Linked DNA regions of Nothobranchius furzeri. The protein of the gene in region 6 purifies or fractionates together with the protein of the main gene of each other region. This does not show direct contact. Links are inferred from orthologs where the notes say so. Each region holds a gene or a part of one and is shown on either strand. Other genes may lie near its edges.

The links.
Region 1: the proteins of mapk7 (region 6) and vbp1 purify together in Homo sapiens (affinity purification with mass spectrometry; 3 studies listed by BioGRID and IntAct, with this or other methods). This does not show direct contact. The link is inferred for Nothobranchius furzeri from reciprocal best matches to the Homo sapiens genes MAPK7 and VBP1.
Region 2: the proteins of mapk7 (region 6) and pfdn4 purify together in Homo sapiens (affinity purification with mass spectrometry; 3 studies listed by BioGRID and IntAct, with this or other methods). This does not show direct contact. The link is inferred for Nothobranchius furzeri from reciprocal best matches to the Homo sapiens genes MAPK7 and PFDN4.
Region 3: the proteins of mapk7 (region 6) and pfdn2 purify together in Homo sapiens (affinity purification with mass spectrometry; 3 studies listed by BioGRID and IntAct, with this or other methods). This does not show direct contact. The link is inferred for Nothobranchius furzeri from reciprocal best matches to the Homo sapiens genes MAPK7 and PFDN2.
Region 4: the proteins of mapk7 (region 6) and pfdn6 purify together in Homo sapiens (affinity purification with mass spectrometry; 3 studies listed by BioGRID and IntAct, with this or other methods). This does not show direct contact. The link is inferred for Nothobranchius furzeri from reciprocal best matches to the Homo sapiens genes MAPK7 and PFDN6.
Region 5: the proteins of mapk7 (region 6) and pfdn5 purify together in Homo sapiens (affinity purification with mass spectrometry; 3 studies listed by BioGRID and IntAct, with this or other methods). This does not show direct contact. The link is inferred for Nothobranchius furzeri from reciprocal best matches to the Homo sapiens genes MAPK7 and PFDN5.

What each region holds. Positions count from the first base shown.
Region 1 is NC_091742.1:80,080,558-80,084,539, forward strand, and holds the start of vbp1 (prefoldin subunit 3), read right to left. Parts: upstream 2,801-3,982; 5' UTR 2,763-2,800; coding exon 2,646-2,762; exon of another isoform or gene 2,527-2,645; intron 719-2,526; coding exon 594-718; intron 454-593; coding exon 387-453; intron 1-386. UniProt on the Homo sapiens protein: Binds specifically to cytosolic chaperonin (c-CPN) and transfers target proteins to it. Binds to nascent polypeptide chain and promotes folding in an environment in which there are many competing pathways for nonnative proteins.
Region 2 is NC_091755.1:40,025,428-40,029,708, reverse strand, and holds the start of pfdn4 (prefoldin subunit 4), read left to right. Parts: upstream 1-1,481; 5' UTR 1,482-1,496; coding exon 1,497-1,610; intron 1,611-1,948; coding exon 1,949-2,056; intron 2,057-2,532; coding exon 2,533-2,673; intron 2,674-4,281. UniProt on the Homo sapiens protein: Binds specifically to cytosolic chaperonin (c-CPN) and transfers target proteins to it. Binds to nascent polypeptide chain and promotes folding in an environment in which there are many competing pathways for nonnative proteins.
Region 3 is NC_091742.1:74,820,983-74,824,884, forward strand, and holds pfdn2 (prefoldin subunit 2), read left to right. Parts: upstream 1-1,221; 5' UTR 1,222-1,443; coding exon 1,444-1,524; intron 1,525-2,368; coding exon 2,369-2,457; intron 2,458-2,575; coding exon 2,576-2,699; intron 2,700-2,927; coding exon 2,928-3,119; 3' UTR 3,120-3,402; downstream 3,403-3,902. UniProt on the Homo sapiens protein: Binds specifically to cytosolic chaperonin (c-CPN) and transfers target proteins to it. Binds to nascent polypeptide chain and promotes folding in an environment in which there are many competing pathways for nonnative proteins.
Region 4 is NC_091741.1:28,885,127-28,889,159, forward strand, and holds the start of pfdn6 (prefoldin subunit 6), read right to left. Parts: upstream 2,801-4,033; 5' UTR 2,679-2,800; coding exon 2,615-2,678; intron 2,493-2,614; coding exon 2,422-2,492; intron 2,344-2,421; coding exon 2,219-2,343; intron 1-2,218. Other genes in the region: mmgt1 (ER membrane protein complex subunit 5), read left to right, coding at 3,245-3,323, 3,584-3,636, 3,714-3,817. UniProt on the Homo sapiens protein: Binds specifically to cytosolic chaperonin (c-CPN) and transfers target proteins to it. Binds to nascent polypeptide chain and promotes folding in an environment in which there are many competing pathways for nonnative proteins.
Region 5 is NC_091743.1:50,185,884-50,189,978, forward strand, and holds the start of pfdn5 (prefoldin subunit 5), read right to left. Parts: upstream 2,801-4,095; 5' UTR 2,786-2,800; coding exon 2,612-2,785; intron 2,417-2,611; coding exon 2,314-2,416; intron 1,770-2,313; coding exon 1,738-1,769; intron 1,456-1,737; coding exon 1,381-1,455; intron 1,292-1,380; coding exon 1,186-1,291; intron 1-1,185. UniProt on the Homo sapiens protein: Binds specifically to cytosolic chaperonin (c-CPN) and transfers target proteins to it. Binds to nascent polypeptide chain and promotes folding in an environment in which there are many competing pathways for nonnative proteins.
Region 6 is NC_091756.1:34,357,320-34,361,406, forward strand, and holds the start of mapk7 (mitogen-activated protein kinase 7), read right to left. Parts: upstream 2,801-4,087; 5' UTR 2,540-2,800; intron 1,114-2,539; 5' UTR 1,110-1,113; coding exon 845-1,109; intron 774-844; coding exon of another isoform or gene 759-773; coding exon 593-758; intron 468-592; coding exon 1-467. UniProt on the Homo sapiens protein: Plays a role in various cellular processes such as proliferation, differentiation and cell survival. The upstream activator of MAPK7 is the MAPK kinase MAP2K5.

The DNA.
Region 1 (3,982 bases), on a different chromosome or scaffold from region 6:
TTTAATGTTTAGAGCAGCAGGAACTCCGAGAGGCTGCAGGCGCATCAGTGAGTTTGCACCGCTGCGCAGGGGGAGAGGGCTGAAGCAGAAACTACCGTTGTTAAAAGAAATGTGTTTAACTTTGAAAATGTGGGCGCAATTCTAATTGTCAAAAACTCCAGCGAACCATTAGTTCATTTTGCTCAAATAGAAATTGAGGCCTGCCTCTAATTCTGGTCCTCCTTCCAATAAAGGCCTGGAGCTTGATGAGCTTGAGTCAAATACAGACCCGGGCCTGTATTAGAGGATTTACGGTAGCTTATTTCACCCATCCCTATGTTGTCATTCTAGAGGAACTGGAGAAGACTCACTTCCAGTATGGAGCTGGTTTACAGAACTTCACCCACCTTTTTCTTCTGCATGTGTCGTAGGATTTCTAGCGTCTGTGTGATCTGTGGAATCTGGTTTTTCAACCTATTAAATAAGAATGATTTTAGTTAAATAAATAAGCATCCAGCTTTCCTACTTTACAGATCTACCAGGTGCACACATATCAATTCATGCACGTATTAATGTAACCCGAATAACTCGTAGTGTTTGTATTTCTGTTTTACCGGAGTTTCTTCTGGGACAGGTTGAGCTCCATGTACTTATATTTCTGGTACTGCTCATCCAGCTTCCTCAGAGCAGAGTCTGCCGTCTCGTTGCCAGGCAGCTTCATAAAAGAGTCGACATCCTCCTGGAAAACAGCAAACAGGGATTAAAAAACAGAAAGGCCTATATAACTACTCCACAAATGAGACTTTCAATACCACAAAGTCAAATGTCTAAAGTCTCAGTGAGATGTGTTTGCAGCGCCGTCTGGTGGACAAAATATGAAATTACACTTTTCTGAATTGGCCTTTGTGTTTTTAACATGGAAGCACAAATAAGGTCTTACCATTTCCTAAAATACTTTTCCGTTTGTTATACCTATAAGTTCAAAGTCACAATAAATGAAACCATAAAACAGGTTAGTGAGAATTAAAACCCTAAATTAGTGTCAGATTAAACAAATAAATGTAACAAACCAAAAAAATTACAAACATTTTTATAAATACAAATATAATATAATCTTTTGTTTAAAATAAATATGATCTTTTAGCTTTTCTGTTAAAAATGAGAAAAAATGTGTGATTTAACAGTTAAGTACTTTTCACAGAAAGTTTTGATTGAACAGTTTAAATTTGATTTGACAGCATCAGAAGTAAATCGCCTGGGCACTGGTAAAAAAAAAAGTTACTGTATTCTATAAAATGGTTTGATGCACAGATAATAAAAGAAAAAATCTATTTATCTCATTACATTAATGCATTTGTTGTGTTAAAGACAAAGACAAAAGAAAATGAGAATTTCTATACTCATGTAAGGTGCTGTAATCTGAGAATGTGTCCAGGTGTAAACCTTCCTCCTGCCATGAAGAAAAATCACTGAAGTAATTAATAAATTACCCAAATTGTTAATATGATGCCGTTTATCCACTCATCGTAACCAAAGAACATCACCTACAAATCTGGTAGCATTACAAGTATCTATAATTTGATTTTTAACCCTTTTAGTCTGTCATTGGTATTTTTCATTCATTTACACATTAAACATAATGGTATTCTGAACTTTTGATCTAATTGTGACATTATTGTTCACTCCAATGCGTGTTATTTTCCCTTCATATTAGGGCTGAAAATGAACTCAATAATCAAGCCTCAATATATTGAGGTTAAGAAATGTACAATTATTATTGAAGTGCAGTTTGGTTCTTGACACTGGATAGGCCATTGTATTTGTTGTTTTGGAGACGGGGTCTACGTTATTGTTTTTGGTGCAATATTTTCTAAAAGAGTGAAAGCACTTTTATATTTATTTATTTTTTGTTTGTTTTATTTATTTAGAAGTTCAGGGTCTGGACATTCCCATGTTAAATAAAGGTTTAATTGTTGCATTTTAATGGGTGTCCTTGCATTATTATGATATATTAACATTACATAAGTGGTTATTTTGGTCTTGATAATGTCAACAATAATATCATTTATCGTCAATAATTTGTTGGACAATATATCGTCCAACAAATTCTGTTATCGTCCCAGGCCTACTTTCTATCTTTATTTTTCTGTTTTAATTTAAATGAGAATCGAATCAAGATAAATTGGCCAGATTATACAAAAATCTCACATTTTTAATACCATCTCAAAACATTAGCAAAGTTAATATCATTAGCAGATTAAAGTGGAAATCTTTCAATGTAATATTTAAAAAAATCGCTGAGCTGTGCTCGTTAATGCTCTCTATGACAGGGCACGTCAGACAAGATGCTAGTACTGTTCTGAGTAATGGACAAGCTAGTTAGCTAGCTAGCTAACTAAAGACACAGTTGACTCTGGCAGGTAAGTCCAGCTGAAGGACCTCAGAAACACCAGGTGAGCTGAATATTACAGGCAGACAGTGATGTCCATAGATGGAAGCGAGCAGCCGCCCAACATGCACACACAGCAGGACACTCTGTTAGCTCACCTGCTAACTTAGCCTCCTAGCTGAGTCAGAATTGCGCCGCTGACAAACCGGTCACACCAAATATACATTACATCCGTTACAAACATGTAACACCGTCAGAAGCGTCTGGTTATACGCACCACAAACACTGCTTCGGGGATACCGAGGTGCTTTTTTTTGTTCGCCTGTGAAGCATTGCTGTTGTCTATGGTCGCCGTCATGTTGGAGAGGCTTCTTTCGTCCTGACGCACGCGCATGCGTACAAGAAGTCGGAGTGGTAAAGGGGAAGCTCTGCTGCCTCTACTGGGGACCCACTGAGACTACAACATTTTCTGTCCTTTTTTTTTTTACCTCCACCAAGGAGGTTATGTTTTTTACAGTTATGCAAAAGGAAATCCGCTTGGATCTTATTTTGAAATTTGCCAGATGCTTTACACAATTAGCCACACTATACTCTGTGTTTGATTCCCTGTCTTGCCAGGTTTGAACTACTGATCTTGATGCATACTGGAAGCATAGTACATAAATGTAGACTTGGCATGACACTACACTTCTGGGACGCATCTGAAATGTACCGGTGTGTGCCCAGTGGAGACAAAGTGGAGACAAAAAGAGACTATGATGGTGGCTATTAACTGTATGTTGCCCTCACGCACTGAGTAGAAAGCCAGAGTTAGTGCCTTGTTCACACTTGATAAAAGAGATAGGCAGATTAATTGTGTTTCTTCTGCAGGACTGATGGCATTGCTGGTAAATGAGCTGAACTAAAAAGGTAGAGGTCTCAAGTAACTGGTTCAAAACAACAGTAGAACTCAGGGCTATGTTTACAGTGAAAGTAAGAGCATTCCCATACCAACAACGTGAAGGGAACTCAAGGGACTGCAACAGCTGTGTACCCATAAGAAAATCACTAATCAGTGAGGCTAACTGGTAAAAAAGGCTTTACTTTGCTAGGGAGCATGAAGATTGGACTAGTGGAAGGTCATGTGGTCTGATGAGTCCAGATGGACCCTGTTCTAGTGATGGGTTCATCAGGGTAAGAAGAGAGGCGGATGAAATAATGCACCCATCATGCCTAGTGCCTACTGTACAAGCCTGTGGGGGCAGTGCTATGATCTGGGGTTGCTGCAGTTGGTCAGGTCTAGGTTCAGCAACAGGATGTGCTCCAAGAATGAGGTCAGATGACTACCTAAATATACTGAATGACCAGGTTATTCGAACTTCCCTGATGGAACGAGCATATTCCAAAATGATAATACCAGGATTCATCAGATAGTGAAGGAGTAGTTCACACATCCGGAAACAGCAGGAAGGAAAATATGTAAAAGAACCCTTATTCATAATCAAAAATAAAAACTTGAATCATTAAAAATTTTCTCTGATCGGCAGCAGACACAGGCCTGCTGTGTGAGGCTAAGTAGCTCAGAACCAGACTGGTAGGGAGGAAGAGAGCATCTGGTCTGATAGGAGAAACAAT
Region 2 (4,281 bases), on a different chromosome or scaffold from region 6:
CCTCCCTCTTTCCACAAGGACGTCCTCGTGCTCCCGCGCAGGGTGCCACCAACACTGCCACACTAATATCCGCGATAAACATCTGTTTAAGTACCGAAAGAGGTTATCTTTGCTTTCTGAATGTCCATATTGCTAGATATGCCGAGTTTTAGGGCGAAATCCTGGGGAATTTTGTCTAGAAATGCAATTACCTAACCGTGCGCGATCCCGCGGTGGCTAATCATTTTTTGGCAGCGAGTCAATTTATGGCACAACACCGGCTCGGGTTTCTCCTCCTCCTCCCTCTTTTCTTCTCCAACCTGTCGCTGGGCTGAGGCTCCATCACTTCCTAAATTGATTTTACTTGAACCTTCACTACCAAACAACTGTGAGATTTTAACACATGTGCCAGCATCAGCCTGAAGGGCCAGTTTCTTTTTTAGTCGAATTTTCTCCGCTCCTCCTTTCCGTTTTTTGTTCTCCATTTTGTAAAGCTCGTCTGTCTGTTTACTGAGATTCACAAACAACTGGCGGGTGCATCAGACCTCTGGCTATTGGTCCAGCCCAGAGTGTATTATTACCAATTGGCCAATCCACCAACTTTTACGAGGCGTCGCGTGGGGTGGCGCGGACAAGTTGTCCGCAACAACTAGAAGCCAGGAAAAAAAACAAAACAAAAAAAAAACAGACACCGGCCCATAAAAGATGAAAGGGTCGGCCCAGCGGGCAGTTGCCCGCTATGCCCTATGGTCAGTCCAGCGCTGCCTGGGAGTCTGGGGACTGAATCCTGATTGGATCATTTTTTTATATCAGCCACAGATCTCTCTGAAGAACTCAGCATTGACGGCTTCAGCAACGCTGTGCCACTCCGTGGATTTTCTCTTATTTGTTTTGCAAAAGTACTTCCTTACATTTCTCCACCTCACCCACAGGTACCTCAACTTCTGCTTGTGTGTAATAGCGCTTTCTTGATCTGCCTTGATCTACGGTCGCCATGTCATTGGCGGAGCGCTGCAACAGCCGGCTTATGTATACGCATGGGATCCACAAGGCACTTTGCATTGACTATTTATGGCAGTAAGTGGGCGTGGTGAGGGCGGGATGTGACTAAAAAGCAGCTGAGAACCTATCTAGATAGTCTCTGATTTATGAAGTTGCAATTGCGTGCAGCTGTGTGTACTCCATGTTTGATAGATCACAAACCTACTTGGCATAAGTACTTTTTTTTTGCTGAGCTTAAGTACGGTTTTAGTAAGGATTCTACACAATGTTTGATAAATGAGACCCCTGGCAGCTTGAAGGTTCTTAGCTGGTCCTAGAACTGCACTCTTCCAGACTGAGTTGTCAGATGTTTGTCCAGGAATTTGTTGGAACCACTTCTCTAGTGTGGGGGTCTCTTCAGAGCACTGTATCATTGTATCATCATTGATCTGTGTCATTATTTGGTTAATAATACTTAAAAAAGACCACTCTGTAAGTATTTGTATTCAATCTTTGTCACATGCGCACAGCATGTAATGCTGAAGTGCTACCGCCAGGTGGTGGTGTCGCAGCGGCTCTCTATTGAGCGCTGCTTTCTGACAACAGCAGAAGAAGTCAAGATGGCAGCTACCGTCATGAAGAGTCCTGTTGTAAGTTCGTTTTTAAAGGAATTTTACGTTTTCCTGTAATTAAATTCATGCGCCGCTTTAGTCGCAGATATGAATGGAAACAGCAGAGGAGTATTTGATGTCAGAAGTCACAGTTTTTGGGGTTTATTTTAACCATTCTCACCACCCGTTCATGTGAGTGAGTGGAGCTAATGTAGCTAGCACAGAGGCTACAACCACCCTGCCGGGCAGCGGCTGAAGCTGACGACGGTTTATCGGTTTGTCACTAACCAGCTCTGTGGGAGTCGACCGGACCTCAGACCCGGTGCGCTTGTGAAATGTTTAGTTATTTACAATTAACGTCATCTTCCGGTTTGCAGGCTGTTGAAGACGTGGTTGTCACGTTCGAAGATCAGCAGAAAATCAACAAATTCGCCAGAAACACGAGTCGGATGACGGAGCTCAAAAATGAAATCGAATCAAAGAAGGTGAGTTTGGTGTTTTCTGCTGAAGCATCCTCGTTTCCTGTAACCTTAACCCGATGCTGGCTTATTTCAGGTTTTTATCCAGCCTGGGTAATGTTGAGTAGATTTCTTACATCTGTCAGGAACTGATCGCAGTGTTTGTTGTTTCTGGCTGGCTAAAGGAAGATCAACATGACTTTTTAAAGAGTAAACTCAGACCTCCATCAGATGGTGGCTTTGTGGCTCAGAGGCACACTGGTAGCTCTAACCTCCAGAACGTCAGTGCCTACATGGAACAGTTGCCACTTATGCAGATCAACACCGGTGGGGTTTGACTTCGGCAGTTTCCTCTAAAATGCCAAAGTCATACACGCAAGTTGATGTAGAACCCTGTTATTTAATGTGTAAGGAGTCTGATGTGTCCTGGAAGAGCTACTGGAGCAGTCAGTAATCTATGAACTGCCCTCACCGATTGCTTTGTGTGTGGTGTCCTCTTTCAGAGAACGCTGCAGAACCTTCAGGATGCCAGCGACGACCTGATGCTGTTAGACGACGACACTCTGTTGATCCCCTACCAGATAGGTGGTGTCTTCATCAGCCACTCCCAGGAAGAAACACAAGAGATGCTAGAAGCTGCTAAAGTGAGTGGATCCACGTAACTCAGTAACTCGTTTTGCTCTTCTCTTAAAACATCAGAGAGAAAACCGAATTCAAGTCGCTGTGCAGCTCGAAGGTGTCGAAACAAACCCGGAACTATCGAGGTTAGAGCTGAGGAAAATAATCGATGCATCGGGATGCGGACATAAACGATTCTGCATCGTAGAAGAGTACGCCATCATCGATTATAGTGGAATGTAGTTTTGTTTTTTTAACAGCGGCACCAGCGCAGCGTCCAAATCTGTCAGAGTGAGCGTCCTCCACATTTACCAAGTGGTTCCGCCTTAATGTGGTTCTGCAGGGCTGAGCGCTTGAGTTCTAACCTGAGACCGAACCGGAACCGAATCAGCCCGACTAGTTCTGTTGGATTTGGGCCCTGAATTACGTCAATTGAGTGGGTTGTCACACGGCGCGCTCCGCTCGCACAGCAACTGAGAGAGGGAGAGAGAGGATCGGAGGACGCTCCTCCAAACCGATGCTCCAAACACGCGTTATTATTTTCATAATTTAATTATTATTTCTCCTGGAAGCGCTCAGTCAGACCGAGTGTTGTGATGCTGGGAGATCCGGTCTTGGGGAGGGGGCGGGGTCAATGACGGTGGCTGCAGCGTGATCGTCTTTTATTTAGGGACACGGAGAAATTAAGAGGAGAGAGATAGAAGATAGAAGTTCTTGTTCCACTTTATTCTTTTGTGTCATGATGATAATTTGATGTTAAATTCAGCTTAAAGAGAAGCTGGGAGGAAGCTTTGGTTCATTTTAAGTTACAGGAGGTCTTGTCTCCCATCTGCTCCTCCAGAGACAGCATGGACATGAGGGTCACATGGTGAGGGTCCCACAGGACAGGTTAGTGGAAAGGTTAGTTAGCTGGTTAGTGAAGGAGCTCCATCAGCTGGGTAATTTAATCCTAATCCAGCCCACAGCCTTCTGCTGGTGTTATTATCAGAAAGAATAAAACACACATCTTAAATATTATTGGAAGTGTAGAATTTGTTTTATGTTTTATTATTTTCTGCATCAAACAGAACTTGATTCATTCTCCAACATTTCAGAAATGAACCACTGGGTTCAAATGAAATTAAGTCAAACATTTCATTTGGTGTTATTTCTGACACCCTTCAACTGTGGCATAAATATCGGACTCTAGAGCTGCTCAGAGACATTAAACACTCATATATGAACCCATTATGGATTTTATTATTACGTTATGTTTCCTGTAGGTTTTCAGTACTTTTTTAGATTTTGTGAGTTTTTGCAAAGCGTGTTCTTCTCAGCCTGAGGCGTGGTGTTGAACGAGGAAACAGATGTTTTACTTTGTTAAATCTTCTTAAATGTTTAAATGTTTTGTCCTAACCTGTTGTGAATGGAGAGATTTTGAGGGACAGCAGGTTGTGTCGATTACGCTTTTGATAAAAAAAACATAAAACTAAAAAGCAATTATCTGACATCTTCCATTTATCGATGAAAACAAACTAATATGAAATAATCGTGATGCGGGATGCAGCTATCGAATATTTTTGTAATCGAGTACTCTATCGAATCTTTTATCGATTAATCGAGTACTCTAATAAATTACTCTTTTGTGTTTTTAA
Region 3 (3,902 bases), on a different chromosome or scaffold from region 6:
TTATAACAATATGTGGTAATAACAAAAAAACAAAAATAAATAAATAAAATAAAATAAAACTTTAAATGTAATGAAAAGTCCATTGTTTTAGGATGTGGAATAGTTTTTGAGTTGGCAATGTTTTTATACTCCTAAAATTGTTTTTAAAGTATTATAAATGCATCATAATCATTCAAATATAACACAGGTTTATAAATAACTATCAAAAATACCCTTAAACCAGACTGAATAAATATATTATTTTGCAAAGCAAACGTTTGGTCTAGTTCACTAATAAGATATAAACAGCACGTATACGTCGCATTTCAGTCAACTTTGAAGACATATTGACAATAATATTGTGTGTTTCTCAATTACAACTCTTTTCGTAATCATTCTGATTATTATGGCAAAGTTTTACATTAATAAATTTAAGTTCAGGTGCACTAAACCATGCATTGTTGCTTTTGAAAACAAATTCAAACAACACATTTAATGTGTTCAATCTTCTGAAAACCCCAGAGCAAATAAAAATCTAGAGGTCTGTATGAGGTTAATCCGCTTTCAGCAGTCCTTTACAGCGTTTGAATTATAAAAATAAAAAAATGTCGATAAATGCATTTAAGTGTATTTTTGTATTAAAAATTTACATGTATTTCTTCATTTGTTTTTAATTATTGATTTTAATTTATGTACGGTGTGCTTCTGATTATTGTCTAACATGAAAACTTTTGTTATTTTTGTTCATTTTTGTTTTGCTTTTGATGTTACCTATAGGCTGCTGTAAAGCACATTAAGTTACCTTTGTATAGGAAATGTGCTATACAAATAAAGCTGTCTTGTCTTGTCTTGGCGGTGTGCAAATTAATTAATTTAATGATTAATATGTCCTTTGGCTGAAATAAAGAATATTTGAAAGAGAAAAAACACGTCTAAAACTCCACGATGCAGAAACTGCTTTAATAAATAAGCTAGATTCGGAAAATGGGCTGCATGGTGGCGCAGTTGTTAGCACTGTTGCCTCGCAGCACGAAGGTTGCAGGTTCGAAACTCGGCTGCGGCCTTTCTGCGTGTTGCGTGTTCTCCCCATTCATGCGTGGGTTTCCTCCGGGTACTCCTGTTTCCCCCACAGATCAAAACATGCCCCATACGTTATAAATTGCAAGTCACTTTGGATAAAAGCCTCTGCCAAATAAATAAACATAAACATAAAATAAAAAAGCGTATGCACGAAAAAACAAAAACAATACAAAGTTGATGGAAGTTAATAGAAATTATTCCTTCAAATGCCATTTTATTTTATGTTGAATTAAGTTGTATTTTGTTTGCGGTTCTGCTTCTGAGTTTTTACATGAAAAAGTAAAAGATGGTTGCAAAGTAATTTAGATGTTTTACAAGCCGCATTTGCACTCAGGCAATCTCATTAGATAGCTGCAGGGTCCTAATTGGCAACACCCTTCCAAGATGGCAGCGAACGGTAGCAGCACGGGTAGCAAGTCCAGCAGCAGCGCCGGCGGAAAACAGTCCGGACTTTCAGCTGAACAGGTACTCTCAATTATATAAAAAGGTTTCATTTGTCGTTACAATTATTTCTGTTGTTGTTTGGCTCAGTTTGGTAAAGCAGAACTAAAAGTATAGCCCCTAGCTAGTCTAAGCTAACATTAGCATTCCTGTCGCGATCATCTGGCTCAAAACCCAAATTTGGACATCGGGAACCGTTAGGAGTCTAATAAGGACATTATGAGAGTTTACATCAAACTCTTACTTCTAACAATTTTTACGTTAGTCTATGTATTTACGGTTTTGAAATAATGTGTTTGGTTTGGTGTGACTAAGCATAAAGCTATTTTTGTCCACCTAACCCTAATAAATTATTACTCAGACCATATTAAACAAATCACTGCTGTAATGTCTGTAATACAGTGCACTGTAGTCCGTAATATATCCTTTAACAACAATAATGGCAACATTAGAGTCGAGCAATACCTTCAAATATGTGTCAAAACCTTTATTGATCAGGTTTTACAAAAATAATAATAAAATGTAAATATTGCCATATTGTATCATAACCTTTTTGTTATTTTCTTACATATAAAGTCTATGACTCTGCGTAAATGGTGATTAAAACCATCAAATAAACAAAGTTTATGTCCACTACTTCTAAAAAGTTGTAGATTAAATCTGATAATAAAATTAAACCTTTACCATTAATGAGTTGCTGCATTATGTACATTTATTTAATAATCTTTTAAACAAAATTGTAATATGCTAATTACCAGTTATGACTTTAAGAGTTTGGTTTCAGTAGACAACTAAGGAGTAGCAGCATCTGTTTTTTATTTATTTATTATACTTAATAAAAAAATGATCAAATTCCATTTGTTTTCAGGTGGTAGCAACATTTCAGAGGATGCGTCAGGAGCAGCGTAGTATGGCTTCGAAAGCTGCTGAGCTGGAGATGGATGTCAACGAGCACAGGTTGGTGGAGCATCATCTACATTTATGTTCTAGACACAAATGTTTCACAAGATTTTGTAGGGGAAACAATCCAAAAGACAGACCGTTTAATACCTTTGCTATTTCTTTTCATATTTAGTTTAGTAATTGAGACCCTAAAGGAAGTGGATCCTTCCAGGAAATGCTTTCGTCTGGTTGGAGGAGTGTTGGTGGAAAGGACAGTAAAAGAAGTTCTACCAGCCTTAGAAAACAACAAAGAAAAGGTAATGTTATTTATTTCGGTCACAGGAATGATCAGGAGAATAAACTGAGACATTTTAAATCACTTATTTAACACCAAAATAACAATAAGTGTACATCGAGTTAATCTACATAATTTCACAAGAAAGAGTTTTGTTTATAGGTTTTGAAGTCAAAAATAAACGTTTAGGTGTCAACTGCAGGATGTTTCGTTTGTCTGATTTCTCATCCATCTTCCTCTGTTCTAATAGATTTCCAAAATAATCGAGACCATCAACACACAGATGCAGGCAAAAGGACAGGAGCTCACAGAGTACAGAGAACGTTACAATATCCGGCTGGTTGGAGAGGGTGAAGGAGAGGCGCAGGGCCAGTCGGCAGCAAACTCGCAAGACAATGAAGGAGGAGGATCCAAAAGTGGAGCAGGAGTTCTGGTCTCATAATGCTTTGAGGATGGACAGGGACAGCAGTGCCCTGTTATTTCTGCAGCACTGAAGAAGAAATGAAAACTAGCTCAAGTCAAGGAATTTAGGTGGAAAACTGAACTTTTCATAATGTTCCTTTTAGTTTTCTTGTTTAACTGTAATTTCCTGGAAGTTGTAATAATCATGGTCATCTGCTTCTCTGTTCAGTTGTTTATGTCCTCATTAAGGTCATTTGCCTTGCAGATGTTTTTTAAAATGCTGTCATACATTCAGCAAATAAATTAAAATGCCATAAAAAGGATTTTGAAGTTGCTGACATAAGTAAAAACATTTATCTTTCTCATCTAGCATATAAATCCTGTTGCACTGGGATGAAATTTTTAAAGACATTAAAAAAAAGTTAATGTCAGAATTAGATCCTTTTGCATTGTCATTAAGCATACACAATCGAAATTTATTGGTATGTCAGCTTTGAAAACGCACAAAGCTTTAAAAATGATGTACATTTTTGCGAAAAGGATGTAAAGGACTGAAAAACAACAAATAATTAAACGTGACTCATGAACAGGAGCCAGTACACAAAAGGAAAAATGGAGAAAAGGAAGAGGTTTCTCATGCTCACCAGATTATGTCATTGCGGCAGAGCCTGCCTCAACTCGACAGTACAGTGAGCTCTCACTCGGTTTTTACACTGCACACACTTCCAAAGCTTTACGGAAATAGTGCTTATGAACGCTTTCAAAGTAAAAGCCAGTCTCTGAAACGTGTTTTCAGACTTATTTCAAACGAACCATTCTAGAA
Region 4 (4,033 bases), on a different chromosome or scaffold from region 6:
GGTCTGAGTTACATTTCTGTAACCCTGCTGAAGGAGTCATCACCTGAAGTTTTCACCTTTCCACTTGAAAAAAATCCATATAATGTCTTCCTAATGAATTTTCACTGGCCGGGAAGCCAGTTTGCTGCTAAATAAAATAGCCAATCGTAGTTGAGTCCTTCTAGCCAATCAGAGGCGAGAAAGGCGGGATCTTTCATGGACACCCTACGGTTCCAAATGACACGCCCAGCACAGCCGAAATATCGCGTGTGCTCTTGTGAGAAAACCTGTCCTTTACAAAAAAGGGTCAGAAAAGCACTTTTTTAATTAATTTTCCAATACAAATGACTTTCATGGCCTAAATAATATAATGTGATGTAGATATCCACGGTAGTAACGGGTGATGACTCCTTTAAGGGTCATTCTAGCACATACTTACTCAAGAAAATGATTAAAAATATGAAAACTTTACATCGTATCCCTTTAAGGTACGTTTCAACATAAATGATTGTGTGTCCGAAACAGAATGCCTTGTAGGAAAATTATTTTTGTTGTTGATTCGATCCAGCCGTCACATTTTTCTGATTTTTCAAGCTCCACTCTCAAAGATGGAGGTTGAGGATTAGGAGGAGAGGAGGAATAACCAGGATAACTGAACCTGAACGGGAGGTGTTCCTGCTCCTGCTGAGCCAGTGTGAAGGCGGTGTGAGCGCCATGGCTTCTCCAAAGTTTAGCAGGTTTTTCATTTGTCTCATTGCTTTTGTATTTTTCAAATTTTTTTGTTTGTTTGTTTCCAGGTTTAAATATGCGATTGTCTCTGTGTCCAATACAATTAATCCTTCGTTCGGCTGACAGCTGGGATTAGTCAGCATATTTTAATATGTGACACATTGGGTGTCGAGTATCAAAATACATAATCCTCACAGTCAGAAATATGGAATTTGTGTTTTTTAATTTTAATTAACTCACAATCTCTGGAAATATGTAATGATGAGAATAACAAGCAAAATTAGTAAAACTATTATAATTCTGGATTCGATTGTTTTTTTTTGTATTTTCTGATTTTGTATTTGATTCATTTAATTCCAGCAGCAGGTATTTACTCAGATTTACTGAAACATTCCTCTCTGGTTCTAACTGGGAATGCCGGTTTTCCAGTCTAATTCTCCAGTAAAACAAACTGCTGGTCTTTGTGGATGAAGTTTTCCGTTCCTCTCCAACTTCATCTCTTCAGTGCTGCGTTTTGAGTGGAAAAGTGACACGCAAAAAATATGCTTCCGTCAGTGCACACTCAAGAGGTGAAACGTATCATCCTAACCACCGCCATGCTAGAACCCGGAATCGCTTAGTGAAGGATTCGGTTATGTCAAACACGCTAATTTAAGAAAGTCCCTTCATGTTCAACTAAAAATGAGACTTCCTGGTTAAATAAATGGTTTTAAAAGCGACTGTCAGCAGCTTCAACCCACAAGAAAATAAGGAACTATGGTGGATCCTGTTTAACTCACTCACTGCGCTGTTTTCTGATCAGAAATCCCCTGGCTGCCAGCGTTTTTGAGCGTTTTTACTGATTTTGAAGAGTCAGAACGTTGTGCTCTATGATCATGCAAACGCCAAAACTATCGAAAGAAAGAGTAGACTCACTTTTTACATCAGGAAGAATCACCGTGTTTCTAGCGTTAACCATTCTTTCACAATCTGTTGTCCAAGTGTGAGCTGCAGACGCTTTTCTGGTTAGCGCCTCGCTTTTTTCACAGCAGCGTCCCAAAACAATATCCCAATTCATGGATTTTCTCCTTCCTGATCAGGTGACGTGTGACACACGGACTAAGATCAGCTTTAGAGACGTCATGTTTACTCTCATGGTGCGGGGGCTCGATCCCACGCCCACCCCGTTAAAACAATGCAACTGACAGCTTTAGTTGTCAATTGCAGCGAGCCACTGGATTTAAAATGACGTCTTTAGCTGTCAATGGCAATAAATGATAAGGGCCAACTGTTTTTTTAATATTCGCATTAATTTGATGATCTCATCTCTGCGTCTGGCATTGCTCAGAATTACATTTTATGTTTGTTTCCATTAAGATTCCTGCCTGAGTCTGAGTAAAATCAGGGTTTAACCGGCTTCGTCCACCTGAAATTGTAAAAACAAGATCAAATCTAACCATCTTTCACCACTGTGACACAGACATTGGTGTGCAGGTGAGCTGTAGAACAGTAAAGCAGCAGCTTGACTTACACTTCCCCGTTGATGTACTCCAGTCTTTTAGCCACGGTGGCTTTGGCCTCATCCAGATCTTGTTTCACTAAAACAGGACCGATAAGTTTATAGATGGTGTTTGAGCTGTCGAGCAGATCCAGCTCCTGGAAACACAGGCGAGTCATGTCTGGATTATTACACACAAACCGTTGTGATATACAGCCATACAGGACTGAAGTTACCTCTTTAACAATGTTGTTCTCTGTCAGCTGCGTCTCCAGTTTCTGTCTGGCTGACATGTTCTTGCTAACATCTGAAAAAACACGCAGGTGGGTTAAAAAACTATTCTTATGGCCAAAAAGCTAACGTTACTTCATGCACACATAGCGGCTACATGCCCTCTAAAACTTGTGATAGCACATAAAGAAAACCCACCTTTCTGCATTTGTGCATACTTTTCTACTTCCGCTTTTAATTTCTTCTGAATGGCGTCTGCCATGTTTGCTTATTTTATCTTACACAACTGTAAAAGTTTAATTATTGTAACAGAGCGCTTAGCAAGGCAACATGAGAGAACAGCGCTAGCTAACAGGAAGAAGCTACGCAGAGACCGGATGTAGTGGAAGATTCAGGGCACACTCGGATATTCTGGTTTTAAATCGAGGTCAGAATAAAATTATGTGTATCTGGACTTATTTTGACGCAAACGCTCACTAAACCATGAAAAGCTCTTTCTAGTTATACATCTAATCTTCAATTTTCGATCAAATATATTGGTTGGAGATCAATGAGTTTGGTTAGAAACATGTAATTTAGGATGTGATTCGAATGCACCATTTGACGTCTGACAGCTTTCTTTGGGTATTTTCAGCTCACAAAAATCTAAATAGAGGGCAAAAACACATAAATAAAATGATTTTACAGATATCAGGCTGCGAATAATAATATTTAACGAACATAAATAATCATTTGGCAGGTAGGTTTTGGTTTTGACGCAGTGACAGTTGCGTCAGTTTACGACTGTTTTACGACGGTGCCCACAGTCCCTCTGAGCCCTGCTTCGAGATGGCTTCTTCGTTTTGGAAAGGTGTTGTCGGCATCGGACTCTTTGCCTTGGCCCACGCAGCGTTCTCGGCAGCACAGCGTGAGTTTCAGCGCCAAGATGTTAGACCGATGTTTTCCTGTGTTGGTTAGTTCTGGTTGGACTGAGTCTCCACCGAGTGAAGGACCGCGGGGCCTGTGGCCACAGCAGCTTAGCTAGCTCCGCTAGAGCCTCCAACGGAGGAAGACTTTAATCTGTACCTGCTCGCTTCTGTGTGACTGCCGTCGTTTAATGTTTGGATTAAGAGTATTCTGTGAGTTATTGTCGATATTACTCTGATTAAATCCCAACTCTCCCATCAGATCGGTCATACATGCGGCTCACAGAGAAGGAGCACGAAACGCTGCCTATCGACGTGAGTAACCCATCTCTGGTCTTCAGAGAGAGCCCTGCTTTTTATTTGTCTTCACCGTCGTCTTGCTCCCACCACAGATCGTTCTGCAGACATTATTATCGTTTGTGATGACCTGCTACGGGATCGTTCACATCGCTGGAGAGTTCAAGGACATGGACGCGTCCTCGGAGCTGAAAAACAAGTGAGTAGATTCCCTTTACAGCCTCCGGTACCGGATCTGTTTGTGACCCGGTTCGATTTCAGCTCTGTGGAACATCCCTCCACAGGGACACTCTCAACTCCCATAAGGCAGTTCGGCAGATACACTAGTTAGGGATGGACAACCACCAGAGCTCTGTTCGACGAGACTAACATCTCTCGGTTCTTTGTCTTATTTAGGTTGAAAAACACTAATTTG
Region 5 (4,095 bases), on a different chromosome or scaffold from region 6:
ACAATGTTTATGAATGGTGAAAATTTTGTAATCGTTTATTACAAATCAGTAATTGCATTTTGTCCTTAAGGGCTCCCGTAGAAGGAAACATGGCATCTAATATGGTGTCGCCCAGAGACTTAGGCCCGGCCCCAGATTTATATGGTTATATGTTGAGAAGCCACCAATATTAATCAACTACTGGGTATCATTTACTTTGTCATTGTCAACATTTTTTCATTTCTTTCTTTATTGAACATGTAAATCAATAGACAAATTAAAGTATTCAAAAAGGAACCCATACATATGTATATGCATATATATATATATATATATATATAGAAACATGTTCAATAGGAAGGGAAAAAAGCTCTGGTAGCTTGTATAATCACCCCCCCCCCCCCTCCCAAAATCAAATTTCAAGGAAGATAAAAACAAAAAAATTCTCTTCCCTACACTGTCATAGCCATTTTCTTATAACATGTTTTATCCTCAATCACACAAGCAAAATTTACATTTTTTATGTTTCCCCCCCCCCCCCCCCCCCATATTCACAGCTCCCAGTTCATAGACAATTACAATCAAATGCAGCACCCTTACAACTTTTCCTCCTCCTCCATGTGATTAGTTAGTATAATTGTTTTATACTTATCTTTAAACGTATGCAATGAGGGACTTTGCTTTAGATCCCCACTTAGCTTATTCCAAACTCTTACACCCGTAACAGAAATACAAAATGACTTTAATGTTGTTCTAAAATATGTATGCCTAAAGTTACGTTTGTATCTGAAATTATATACGTTATCTGGTTTTATAAATAGCTTAATTTTGAAGGATATTTCCAGAGATTAACGATTAAAAACTACACACTGACCCTTTTATCTTTTATCAAACATGTGTTTTCACATCTGTTCGCAAATTCTTAAACAATCAGATCTTCACAGAATTCATAAAACATAATCAACGTACATGTGTCTCAAACTGTTTAACATTCTGATTCAACTGACACCACAGCTAATAAACAATAGCAAACACAAAACTGACTATATAACTCAGTCGGTTTACAGCTATTGAGATCAATTAAAATGTTAGTAGTTGACAGCAATTAATTCCCAATACATAATCAAAGAGCTAACAGATTGCAGAACATCTATAAATGCTGAAAAAAAAAGATTTTAAATGTCAAATTCACACAATTAACCTTACCTTGTTTCACAGCATGCTTTTCCTGAAGAGCCGGCTGAATTTTCTCCATCTGCTTTGTGAGAAAGTCTATTTTGCGCTTAAAGAAAGCTTTTGAGTCCTCCACGTTCTAAAGAAGCAAACACGCATGTTTAAATAGCTTCTTCTTAATTAAAATCTGTTTTATTTATTTATAATATATATCTAAATATATATTACCTTTTCAACATAATATCCTGTCCCCACGTCAACTAGGACATGTTCCACATCACTTAATGTTCCAGGGACATACATCTGAAGAGAAAACTGTAAAGGACAAACATGCTAAAAGAATCCACCTTCACTAAGATGCTAAGTTGTGTGAATAAATGTATGATTTTAATGTGTAAAGATGTTAAACAACGTGTTGCTGAAGAACTGTTTCAAGTTAGAAAAAAGAAACCGAAAGTAGATGGAAGATAGTAAATAACACAACGATGGACAAAACCTTACAGCTCCTTTCACCTGGATGTTTCATATATGTATTTTATGCCAGTGGTTAAATAAAATGAATGTTGGATAATTTAAAAAGGATACAGAGCTTGTAAGAGGCACCAGCAATTCCTTTCCTGTTTGTGAGAAAAGAAATGGGTCACAATCCAAATAAATAGGCAACTCTTTCTCCCTCTCCCAGCCTGGGCGGGACTGACAGGTGAAGGCACAGTGAAGGAACCATTTCTAGGAGTCACTGTGCTCTCCAACCCATTAATGTCCCTCCTCTGTCCCCCATGCGGCTGCACGCACCTGAGGAAAGTCCCAACCCTACCTCCCCACCTAGTGGACACTTATGTTGTGTAATGTCTGAAGTCTGTGTGCATATCTCCTCATATAAACCCTCTTGTGCGACCAATTCTTGTCATGTATGTATGTATGTATGTCTGATCTCAGAATTGTGTGTACTGAAACTCTAATTTCCCTCTGGGATTAATAAAGTATTATTAAACTGAATTGAATTACTTTTTAAACTCTACATATCACCAGACCACAATGAAAAATCATAATCGTACCGATTGTTTTAAATGTCATTCTTTTATAGTAGTAGTTCTTGTGAGAGGTATGGATAAACATTTCGGGAGCCAACAGTTTGTGTCAGATTGTGATTTAAAAACGCACCTTTATTGTTTTGGTTCAGTACATTCAAGCTGTCTTTCGCGTCAACATACTTGGCCTGGACAACTTTCAACTGACTTATCGAAGACGTCAAGAACTCAACCTCCTGAAAGAAACATCAAAATGTACAAAAAGATTCAACCCGGGACAGAAACACCGTTAGCAACACCACCGGTTGTCTACGGCACAGAACGCTAACGGGGGTGTTTAGCCCGCATCGGTCTCCTATTTAACAATACCTCGTGCATTTAGCTACATAAATACAAATACTTCCAATACAGCATGTTACTGATGATAATACCTGATCCAGTTGGGTTTTTAATCCTTCTAACTGAGGCATGGAGAGGTCTGAAAGATTCACCGCCATGTTGAAAGCGTGATGACCAACCTGCACTGACGCAGTTCTGCTTCCGCCTAATACGATGGAATACGGTCTCATTACCGCCCCCATGTGGACAAATGTAAATTTGTCCATGACGCAACCGGAAAGAAATGTACCTCTATGGCCATCTCTTTCATCCTTTTACAGACGTTTTATTTTTAAAGGATACACATTTTTGTTTCAAAAATAAGTAATGCATTTTGATGTAGCAGTAAATGTTTAAGTTATTAAATAAAAATAAAAGTCAACCAAATTCACAAAAATAACAACAAATGCAGTTGTTTTTAACTTTTTTTTGTCTAAATAAACTTTTAATATACAGTTATTTGTAATCGGTAATTTGACTTGGTGGCAACATATTCTGTTTATGGGAGTTTATATGAAATATTCCCCTAATAATGAATGCAATAATAAAATTCATTTTATAAACTATACACTGACTCTGAATTTATACGAGGTGTGTTTTTGGTCCCTGAATAAGCAAAGGACCCTAGAATCTTCTGATTAAACATTCAAAGATCAATCAGATTGATATTTCATATTTGTATGGAATATCACATCTTATTGGTCATAATTAATATGTGTTAATTGCTACATTTTATTTAAATGAAAATTCCTTCTATCGAAGTAATTGAATAAAATCATAATTTTTGTTCGAGCATCTGTGATCTAAAAAAAAGAAAGATACACCGTCAATGTCATCATTTTCACACCAGGTAGATGAACTGGGTCTTTTTCATTAGAACACAATTTTTTTTCAATCCTTAAGAAAACCTGCTTATCTATGTTTAATATGTATATATTTAAATATACAAATTGATTTGTGATATTTTAAAACAACCAAATTTAATCAACTTGAGTCATAAAACACAAAACCTTTCAAACATGAGCTGCATATCTATACTTTTACTGAGTCATGTTTTTTATTTTGATTCCTTTCATATCACAGATGTTCCGTTTTCTTCATTTTTTAGCAACTAATGGAAAAATTTGTGAAGCCATTGCTAACCAGATGTAGTGCCACCAAACAGCCACAGGAGGACGACATTTGCACAACAGAAAGTTCACGTTCACTTGTGTCACTGTGGTTAAAACTCAAAACTAAGGGACATAAATACTAATTGTACTTTCTGTGGGGATCATCCAGAAACTGTGACACATCTTTTTTGGTGCTGTTCTTTTACACAAAGATTCTGGAAGGAATTTAGCAGGTTTGTTACTGTCCATATTTTAAGGGAGTTTTCTTTACGATGGGAAAATGTTTTATTCTGTTTCTTTAAGTTCCCCATGAAGAATGATAAATGTTTTTTATGATAAATATGTTAATACTCTTAGCTAAATTCTTTATTCATAAATGTAAGTTTACTAACAGAACACCATATTTCTGTCATTTTTTAAGGATG
Region 6 (4,087 bases):
TGGTGCTGATCAAATCCTCAGGAGGAGTGCCTAGCACACTCAAAATCAGCTGGAGCTGGTGCACATAATGTTTCCCAGGAAAAAGCTGTTTACGGCCCAACATTTCAGCGAAGATGCAGCCCACAGACCACATGTCAATGGCCAAACTGTAATGGTTCAAAGACAGAAGCAGCTCAGGAGCACGGTACCATCGGGTCGCCACGTACTCCGTCATGAAGGAGTGAGACTCCTCTGGGTGTGAACTCAGACCCCTCGCCATGCCAAAGTCACCAATTTTCAGCTCACAGTTTTCATTCACCAACAGGTTGGAGGGTTTGAGGTCGCGGTGGATGACATTGGCAGAGTGCACGTATTTGAGGCCACGGAGGAGCTGGTACAGGAAGTAACGCGTGTGCTCAGGGGTTAGAGTCTGCGCAGAGTGAATGATCTGGTGTAGGTCACTCTCCATGAGGTCCAACACCACATACCTGCACACACAGAGATGACTTAGACAAGCAGCTGACCAAATACTAAGGATCTTGTGTTTGCAACAGTGTAATGTTCAGATATGTGCAGAGTTGGCATCACAAAAACAATAAAGTACATTACATACACGGACTTAAAGGCAGAGTGGGGAAGGTTCGGCTGTAGGATGTCTTTGATGGCAATAATGTTGTCATGTTTGAAATGCTTGAGAATCTTCAGCTCTCTTAATGTTCGTTTAGCATTTGTTACCACTTCAAAAGCATTGGAGATCTTCTTTATCGCCACCTGCTTGCCTGTGGAGTGCACATGTAGAACATTTCATCGTGACTTATTTCAAACAGAGGACATTTTCCAAACTCTTTAAAGACATCTTCCTTACCGTTGTCCCTTCTTCTGGCCGATGAAACGACGCCATAAGCACCAGTACCAATGGTTTCTATGATATCGTACTCCTCCCCAACATCGAACTTCACATCTAGAGAGTGCGCTTTAAGCAAAGCCAGGTTTGTTGCTGCTGTGCTGGTGTCTGAGGTGCTGCCTGCTGCCTCGGCCTCACGCTGGTTCTGGCTCTCTCTGCTGTTTTCGGTGGCCATTTTTTCAGGCGACATGGTGCTTTTGGCATCTCCACAGCGCTCAGTGGACATGTTTCTGTAGTACCAAAGTGAGTCCGTAAGTTATATTGTTTCCCATGTCCTTCTCTGAATATCTGTCAAATATTATTTTATTATTACATAAATGATTATGAAGTCAATGTTGTGATTGATAAGCGTTTTAAGTTTTTACATGTTTATAAAGACAAAGTTTCTCTGCTTATTTAAAAAAGGTATTAAACACTCTTACCAACTGATGAAATGGGCCAGACGTAAACCATGAAAACATAGACTGTTGGTGAACCTTAATAATATGTTCTGAAGTTATTATGTTTACTTAGTAAATTGTTTTGCTAAATCAAAGAAAAAAATGTTTGTGGTAACATTTAAAAATTATTTGAGCAGAGGTACACCTGGGATTATTGAATAGGTAAAAATGTTCATTTAACTGTCTATGAAGAAATAAGACGTAACCTCAGATGTCATTTTAAAAAAATTAATGGAATCACTAAAAAAGCATTAAGAGTTTGCACAAATTTTAGACAACTCTGGATCTTATTTTATTATTTTCATTCATTTTTCTGTCTGTTTTTGAAATTTAATTCAAAATGATCTTCTGTTAAGGTTTAATACACAGCTGTTAACTGTAATTAATGGCATCTATGCCATTGACTGCCATAATGCATTATTCAGTCATATTTTTTTTCTGGGAATAAACATAAACGTAGAGTTTCAAGTCTTTTCATTTTCTTCTGTACTAATCCGAACTTGGAAAAAATCCCATACTTTGCCAGCCTGTGAAAAAGTTACACATAGAGTGTGTGTGTGTGTGTGTGTGTGTGTGTGTGTGTGTATTCCAACAGCACGGAGACATTAATCATCTTAAAAATATTATTTTATCTTTATTTTATTGCCTTTTCATTAATTAATTTATGTAGTATATGAGATAGCTCGTACGTGCTCCTGGTTTAAATGCACTGCTCAAGAAAATAAAGTGAACGCATAAACTGCACAATGTAATTCCAAGTCAATCACACTTCTGTGAAACCAAATTGTCCACTTAGGAAGCAACAGTCAGTTTCACCTGACAAGGCACTGATGCTATGGACTGGCCCGCCCGTTTCCCTGAACTGAGTCTAATTGAGCACATCTGGAACATCATCTCGCTCCATCCACCAACACCACGTTGCCACACACTGTCCAGAAGTTGGTGGATGCTTTAGTCCAGATCTCGGAGGAGATCCCTCATGAGATTAATAACGATACTTCATTCATTCAGATCTAGGGTGTCTTATTTTTGTGTTTCCTTTATTTTTAGCAGTGCATTGTTCCTCGTTTACTTCACACCTTGAGGCCTGGATTGAACTCTTTTAGACCAAACCTGTAGCTTTTAGTGTTTAGAGAAGCCTGATGACGAACCCAACTGAAGCGGATGATTACAGCATTTAAACATTGACGTTACATGGTAACAAAGAATAACTTACTTGACAGGAGCAGCCTAACCCACAGGGGCGTCGGCTAGTTAACGTTACGTGAGGCTCTAGGTTTCTCTTGAGCCGTAAAACCATAACTTCATCCACATGAAAACAAAACTTCACACTTCGAAACCCCGTTTACAAATTGCGTACAATGCGTCCAAGTCGTGAGCAAAGCCCCTACGGTCCACTCTTTTTTAAATCGCCAACCTGCACGATTATACAGTTGTTTTGTCTGCAGCTTCCTCAATCACTTCCATGTTTTAGTTGAGTGCCAAGCGGCGGACCAATTAAAGGAGAGGAGGACCAGAAAACTAACCAATAGGAATAGAGAACGTCTAAAGAGGGCGGGACTTTACATTGGACACTAAGGGCTCTGTGGTATTTATTTAATTTTGGGTGGCGACGCTGCAATTTGCCAGATTCCGATCGAGCAAAAAATACCAGCCAGTGTTATACAAACAATTTGTATATGGAGCAATCAAGGGACTGTAGCAAATTCTAAATGGTAAAATAATAAAATATTAGTCAAAAGACTTCTAAAAAGGAGGAATTATCTTTCGGCAGAAAATTAATAAAAGTTTGTTTTAAATAAGATCTTACTGAACCCCCCTTCTAAATAGAATTAAAGCACAAATTACATTAGTTAATTTTTTTTTTTTCAGAAAAGATGACATTTTTAAAATAATAGCTTTTAGCCTGTTGAGGCACGTTTTTGATGTGAGCTTACGTATGATACCAATTTTAAATACTGTTTTAATTTGCTTTCATGGTTTGTGTACTTTGTACTTTTTGAACAAAGCAACACAATTTGTCCAGAACCGGTAAATGTGTCGTATTCAATTATAACAACACGATTTAACAGAGGTGTGGACTCGAGTCACACGACTTGGACTTGAGTCAGACTCGAGTGTTTATTTTAATGACTTCTGACTTGATAAAATCTATAAAGACTTACGACTTGACTTAGACTTGAACTCCAATGACTTGCGATATGAATCGACTTGCATCTGTTGACTTGATGACGACTTGAGCGTTTTTCATATTTTAGCACAAAAGGGACATGACATGAACAAAAATCTTACATCATTCTTCGTTCTGGGTTTGATCTTGTTCTGCTAAATGCAGCAGCACTTTGTTTGTAATCTATTTCAGTTGCACTTTTTACTTGTTTCAGCAAATAAATGGATTTTAAAGAAGCTTTATTTCTGGAATTTATTTATTATCATTGTCATTAACCCTCCCACTGTCCTAATGGGTGGCCCCGCCAGGAACGTTGACCATTGAGCAGGGTTGATGGTTTATATGACCTCACCCCTGCTGCCACATGGACCTCAAGGGATAAACCGTCATTCCTGCTCAATGGTCAACTTTCCTGGCGGGGTCACCCATTAGGACAGTAGGAGGGTTCAATTGAAGTTGGACAGATGACTTGATTATGACTTGAAAATTCAAAGTTAAGGACTTGGACTTGACTTGGACTTCCATATCATTGACTTTGGACTCGACTTGGACTTGGTTGTCTTTGACTTGACTGGAAAGACTTGTAACTTACTT